2 linked regions of the Caenorhabditis elegans genome follow. The protein of the gene in region 2 interacts with the protein of the main gene of each other region in a pairwise test. Each region holds a gene or a part of one and is shown on either strand. Other genes may lie near its edges.

Region 1 (3,528 bases), on a different chromosome or scaffold from region 2:
AAACGCAATATGAGGGAGATTGTGAGTTTTTTAAACCGATTTTGCACTTAATACGGAAAAAAATTGCCCGTAAATGGCGGATAGTGAATAAAATCGGAAAGATATGTTTTGCAATGATTGAACAAAGAAGTATCGTTTGAAGGCATAAAAATTCAACGGTTTTCTATGAATGATGACTCCCATGAGGTCGCCGCATTTATCTGAATGGCGTGAAATGTAGGGCGGCGCGGAACCACAGATGTGTCGGCCGCACGGTGGTTCAGTCACGGTGGTTCAGTTGCTAGATGGGTGCAAACGCGCTCCACCGAATAAACGTGCATAACTTGGCCAGGAAGTACAAAATCGAAAATTCATCACAAATAAAGATAGGCATCGAAAAATCGATTTTGTGATGGTTTTCGAGATAGTAGCCAATATAGATTTCCAGACTGAGTATCATGAACCAATCCATCTAGTTTCTGTGCTACCGTGCAGTTGCTAGATATTGAACTCTAAGCAATCCATATCACAAAAAATATACTGTTAGAATTACTGCCTCTTTATTCTCATTTAAAAATCGTATTCTCTCATATGAAAACTACACAGAAAATAGATCAAAAAGAGGAAAAAAGTCCAGAAAAGGTTATTTATTGATTTATATTTACTAAAATCTTCCAATAAAAGTGTTCTTGATTTCTTCTTCTCTCATCCTCCTCTGTGCATCACTTTCCGCGTGTTGTGCCTCCAATGCCGCACGGTTATTTCTCATAGTTCTCTTAACAATTATTTCAATAATTATATCAATTTTATGAAACTCACTTCAATTTGATCGAATCCGTTTGTATAACGTGGTTCCCGATCCATAATGCATTCCCTTTCCTGGAAAGTTATATTTAAATGTCGTTCCAAAAATTGAAATGTTAAGATTGTTGATGAGATTGTTATTTGTTCAGAAAATAGAGAAACACGATTTGTCGAAAAAACTGAAACATCAGATTTAGGCTGATTTTTTTAAGGCTGACCTTGATGCTAACAGAATTTTATGAGGCTATTCTCGAATTGTTTCTTACCCTCCGCTGCTCATTTCGTTCATGGTGCCCACCACTATTTCTGCTATCAGCTTCATATTCTCTCCCATAAACATTTCTGATGCTTTGGTCGTTTTGTCTCCGCGTGTTTTCCCATCTTCTTTGCTCGGCTATTCTAGCTTCATCTTGCAGTCTTCGCTGAGACTCCTCAAAGCTCAATCGACGAGCTTCAATGTGTTGATTCGGCGTATTGAGTCCCACTATATCAGCTTCTCTGTAGTTGTGAGATTTACTCCTTCTCATCTGAAACGAATACCATTAAAATTACATTCTAACTATTACAAATACCTTGATTTGAACATTCTTAGCTTTGGCAGAGTATGGAATTTTCAGACATACTCCGGTAGGGTAAGGATAGTATGATGGTATTGTGAACGAATAACGCTGGTCATCTGTATGTGCTCTTCCTGAGCTTCTGGTTTGGTCAGAATGTCTGCTTGTTTCAACATTACGAAGGTAGATGCCCTGTCCATTGTTGCCAGTTACTTTTAGACGTAATCCGAGGTCACGATAAGGAATGTCGGGGGTTATTGTGAGTTTATGAAAAGGTACACGCTGACCATCCAACTTTGCGCTGCCTCTTCTTACTTGCACCTGAATATCCGTTCCTTCTTGATGCTGGTAAAAATGACTGACACTTCCATCTCTTTGCTGCACATTGGACAATCTTATGCGATCCGTCCCTCTTGAATCATGGTTTTGCTCCATTGTTATCTAAAACAGCGTTGATAGGAACAGGGGTGACTGCTGAACGACAAGTTTGGCGATTGGTAAAATTGGAAAATATTGGCGAGCGGCAAAGTTTGTGAACACTGAAAACCAGCACTTTCAAAAATTTTCAAACAAACTGAGGTTTTGCATTCTTTGTTTGAAAATTTAAAAACCTTGAAAAAGAAAATGTGAAAAAATCTTGCAATTTATAATTAAGTTTTGAAAATCGTTAGCCAGTAAGAAAATTAAACGTTCCTGATCACCGACATTCTATTAATACTGATAAGAAAATTCCTCATAAACTGGAGTATTGCTCCAAATTATTGGAAGATAACACAGGTTCTTATACGGGCTAGGAACAGGACGGAAAGTATTTTCCAATAAAATTATAAAAATAGAAAAAGAAAACTGAGGAATATGAAAATTAACTTTCAAGAGAACTTTTATTTGTTAAATACTTTTGGCCGGAGAAAAATTCAAAAAAATAAATGAAAGTAAGACAACTGAACATTCGTGGTCTCCGCTCTTCAATTTATACTAAACTGATAAGAGCATTCCTTATAAATAAAAATATTGCTCCACATTATTGAAAGATAACACAATTCCTCATACGGAAGAAAGTGCATTTCAATAAAATTATAGAACTAAGAAACATAACCTGTCAAAAAACTAACCGCGAAGCGTCATGAAATCTGAGGAACATGAAAATTAACTTTCAAGAGCACATTTCTTTCAAAACTTTTCCTTGACAGGAGGAATTAATTGTTAGCAATATTTTGATTATTCATGAGGAATTGATGTGTCCTCTCAGTATAAAAGAAGCTTGCACTCAAGGGAGCATTATATTCTCTTTATTTTTTACCCCATTTGTATCATTAATTTTCCTGCAACATGTTCTAGTAAAACACTAAAACTTTATATTTAAATGATGGTTACTAAAAATTGTGTTTTTTTAAACAATTAAACGGAATTTTGTTATATTCATTTCAATGTAAAGCATAATTCAGAAAACAATTCCAACACCCAAACAATGAGCGACAACAATACACTGCGGATGGCGGAAATGCTGGATAAGCAAAATTCCCGGCAACATGATTTCATGAAGGTTTTTAAATTTATTTTTTCTATTAATTAATAATGTTTAATACTTTACCTAATAATCAATAATTAATAATTTACCACAAGTATTATATTTCAGCGAATGATGGAGATGAACTACAATGCAAGATTGTCCGACCAGGCAAGAGATGATCGAAACGCGATTCGAAGTGAAAATAATCTCAAAGAAGTCAATGCTGGTTATCATATTTTTATTTTCAATTGTAATAATTGTTCATTCAATGTTGTTCATACTTCAAATAGGAAAAAATAATAAATCAATTATTATTATTATTATGATTATTATTATTACGTCTTTGACAATTCGGCCGAAGCACAAAGGGAGGAGAGTCCCGTAGACATTTCCATTAAAATCAGAAGAAGAAAACAAGGGAGACAATTGTTTTGGGTGTTCTTTATCTATTGCAATTTTAAATCTCATCTATTACATTTTTGTTTTAATCAAGTTTTCTTAAAGTTAGCTATATTAGCTATATACTACCTATATCTATCTCGTTATTTTTAAAATAAACACAGTTTTGGCGTGTTTTTTAATCTTGTGTAACACGGCCTCTCTCAATTAAAAAAAAATTACATTTAAAAAAGTAATAATCTGTCTCTGCGTCTCTCATGAGCGAGAGAGTGAGTTTTT
Region 2 (3,755 bases):
TTCTGTGCTCTTTTGTCTCTTGTTTACACGTCTGTTGTCTCTCGGACTTTATTTACGAAATGCTGCGTCTCTCCTGCCCTTCTCTCTCTCTCTCTCTATTGCGCCCAGAGACCACACTTTTATTGCCATTGTCGTCGTCGTCGTCGGAAATTTTCTCGCTTTTTCATCTTCTTCTTCTAAATAATCATGTTTTTAAAATTCAATTTTAATTTCAGGAACCACCGAAAAGCCACCACCAGCAAAAAATGTCCGCCGAAGAGCCAAAGTCCTACGTGAGTTTCGTTTCTAACGGTGTTGTAACAACAACAAAAAAGAAAAGAATAGAAAAAAAACCGTATCAGTACGGGGGTGATGAAAGTGCGGCGGCGGCCCCAGTCAAGCGTAAGAAATAATGAAAAAGAAAGGACAGAAACTTTTGGAGAATTTGCCCGTTTCTGTAAGTGTCACCTCTATAGTTCACCACCGATGTTTGGACTACTACTACTACGTGTTGAATCAGAAGGAAGATCAGACGCCGCAAAAAATATATTTGTTGATAGTTGATTTCGAAATTGTAGTTCTTGACACTGATGATTGATCGTTAAGTGAACAATTTTAAAGAAACGATTTTTGCATAACGTCCAGTTTGCAGCAATTCTACAGAATCAGGTTGAAAAGCTTCGAATTTAGAAACGTCTTCAGCTAAAGTGAGACCAAAATGTTTCCATCAAAAGCTCAAAAGGCATTTTTAATCTCTTTTTTCCAGCTTGAAACAATTTCCAGTTGATCTTTAAGATGCTTACCACTCGAATTTCAAATTGCTTCTGCAGTCTTCTATGTTAAGCCGTGTCTCATCATGAATGTCCTTTCTCTTCGATGTCTTGTGCCTTCTTGAAAATCTTCCGACGAGTAGTAACCTCCTTTTTCTCGAATATAGAACAACAAATGGCAGTTTGGCAATTTGGCAATTTGGACAAAACACTAGTACACCATGAGAACCTGCCTAAGATCAATGCCACATTTTTTCTCGCCTTGGCCCTAGTTGTGCAACACCTTTTCAACGTTTGAAGCAGGGGTGGGCGGCAATTGCCGGTTTGCCGGAAATTTCAATTCCGGCAATTTTCCGATTTTCCGCAAATTTCAATTCCGGCAATTTTCCGATTTGCCGGAAATTTCAATTCCGGCAATTTGCCGATTTGCCGGAAAAAAATCGTTTGCCGCCCACCCCCTGGTTTTTGAAGTGCATTTCGAGCCTTTGAAGTTGAAGTTTGCACGTGACGCCCAGACTCGAAATGCGGTAAACAGTAATGCGAAGACGCAAATATTGAGCATGGATTTTGCTCCGAAAACTTTTGTTGTTTGAGTTTCAACAAATCATACAAAAAAAATTTCGAGCTGAAAACTGTACCAACACTCATTATCGATCTCTTCCTCTCCAGAAAGTTCCGTTCCTTTTTTCAATTTCACTGTTTTCTTCGCCTACAACGACACGATGAATCATGGCGAGAAGTCGTATGCGAGAGACTGTACGAGAAGTCGGAGACACAGACAGATGCACAAAAAGAAACATTTCAATGTCGCCTCGCGCACATGCTGTCACCCTCCCATAATTCCATGCTCTCTCTGACTCAATATTGGGCGGCGCTTGCGAATGTTATGACTGTTCAACTGTCTGGTTTCTCTCTCCTCTCACACTCTCAGCTTTTGTTGAAACTGTTTACCGGTCGTCAGTTCTTCGTTTGACTCGCGTCCTGAACGATCGCTTTCAGTTTTCCTCAGCTCAACTCTTTACACTAATGTCTTCCACTCCTCAATTCCTTCGCTGGTACGAGCAGAACAAGGTAAAGCATGCCTCTATACATGGGGGTGTCAGGCTGTCCCATGTTTGATCTACAAAAAAAAGCGGGAATTTTTTCTCCTGCAACTTTTCGGAGATCAAACTGACATGGGACATTCTGACACCAGCTCGAAAATGGAGAGCATTCCAAGTTTGTTGGTTGCCACTAAAGTGACACATTCCTCTCGTTATCTGCTCGCCCACACCTTCGGTTCCATTATCAACATTCGAGATTCCCGCCATATTTCTGGTGTGTTTGCTCGGCGGCACATCACAACAAAATTTTGTGCAAAATGGAGCAAAATGGAGCTAAAAAATAGAAAGCAACTAGACAATGTAGAAAAGGCATTTTTTGTCGTCGTCAGCTGTATGAAAGTCTGGGGAGCGCGAAGATTGGTGGATGCAGATTGGATAACAGCTCTTCCGCTTTTTCGGGTCTCGCTTCTTGCTCGCTTATTCTGTTCACCAGTGTGTGACACGCGAGGTCCCCCCCCCCCCCCAGCATATATTTCTACATGATTACCCTACTGAACATTTTAAAATGGCATATGGAAGAAGAAATGGTTCTAGAAAACTCTACTTATAAATCTATTACCGAAACACAAAATTCTGAGAATGCGTATCGCGCGACATATTTGACGCGCAAAATATCTCGTAGCGAAAACTACAGTAGTTCATTGTTCATTACATGACTACTGTAGCGCTTGTGTGTCGATTTACGGCATTTCACAAGCGCTACAGTAGGCATTTAAGGAGTTACTGTAGTTTTCGCTACGAGATATTTTGCGCGTCAAATATGTTGTGCAGTACGCATTATCAGAAAAATGTGTTCCCGTAATAATCCAATTAATTTTTTAAAAAATTAAAATTTTTAAATTTTTCAGCCAGTACCATACCGCTCAGTGCTCCAGGAGAAGTTCGAGCCCGGACAGACGCTCATCGTCAAGGGATCGACGATCGACGAGTCGCAACGCTTCACCATCAACCTTCACTCGAAGACCGCGGATTTCTCCGGAAACGATGTGCCACTCCACGTCTCTGTCCGCTTCGATGAGGGCAAAATTGTGCTCAACTCGTTCTCGAATGGAGAATGGGGAAAGGAAGAGCGCAAGTCGAACCCAATCAAGAAGGGAGACTCGTTCGACATTCGCATCCGTGCTCACGACGATCGCTTCCAGATCATCGTCGACCACAAGGAGTTCAAGGACTACGAGCACCGTCTGCCACTCTCCTCAATCTCTCACCTCTCGATTGACGGAGATCTCTACTTGAACCACGTTCACTGGGGAGGAAAGTACTACCCAGTACCATACGAGAGCGGACTCGCCAACGGACTTCCAGTCGGAAAGAGCCTCCTCGTCTTTGGAACCGTTGAGAAGAAGGCCAAGCGCTTCCACGTCAACCTTCTCCGCAAGAATGGAGACATCTCGTTCCACTTCAACCCACGTTTCGATGAGAAGGTAAGGGTTGATATATGCCACGAGGCACCACAGAAAGGAGAACCACGACAAAGGAGAACAGGAACCACGTCCATTTTTCCGTGCCGCGAGAGGCACCACATTTTCAGGATCTGGAACCGTACCAACTGCGGTTTTTGCAGTTTTCTCTCGATGAAAAACGAAACAACGATGCTCCGATGTTATGCGTGTTGTTTAGCGTTTTCCAAAAGTTTTTATTTCAAAAAAACATTATTCTGAACGCTAAACAACACGCGACGCGTCATATCGGAGTATCGTTGTTTCGTTTTTCAGCGAGAGAAAACTGCAAAAACCGCAGTTGGCACGGTGCCCCAGATCCTGAAAACGTGGTGCCTCAAAATTTGCGGAAAACTTGCGGCACGGAAAAATGGGTGTGGTTTCTGTGTTCTCCTTGTTCACCTGTTCTCCTTTCTGTGGTGCCTCACACACACATACACAAAAAGACCCGCATTTTGTTTGCT

What was found. The genes of interacting proteins can lie anywhere in the genome.
Region 1: the proteins of lec-1 (region 2) and F26F2.3 interact in a two-hybrid assay, tested with the Caenorhabditis elegans proteins (2 studies listed by BioGRID).

Annotation. Positions count from the first base shown.
Region 1 is NC_003283.11:20,564,767-20,568,294, forward strand, and holds F26F2.3 (Transthyretin-like family protein), read right to left. Parts: upstream 1,789-3,528; 5' UTR 1,776-1,788; coding exon 1,356-1,775; intron 1,311-1,355; coding exon 1,050-1,310; intron 859-1,049; coding exon 799-858; intron 755-798; coding exon 644-754; 3' UTR 523-643; downstream 1-522. Other genes in the region: F26F2.9 (Transcription termination factor Rho), read left to right, coding at 2,809-2,883, 2,977-3,150.
Region 2 is NC_003280.10:13,195,334-13,199,088, forward strand, and holds the start of lec-1 (Galectin), read left to right. Parts: upstream 1-1,612; 5' UTR 1,613-1,775; coding exon 1,776-1,820; intron 1,821-2,700; coding exon 2,701-3,276; intron 3,277-3,755. UniProt on the Caenorhabditis elegans protein: Binds galactose.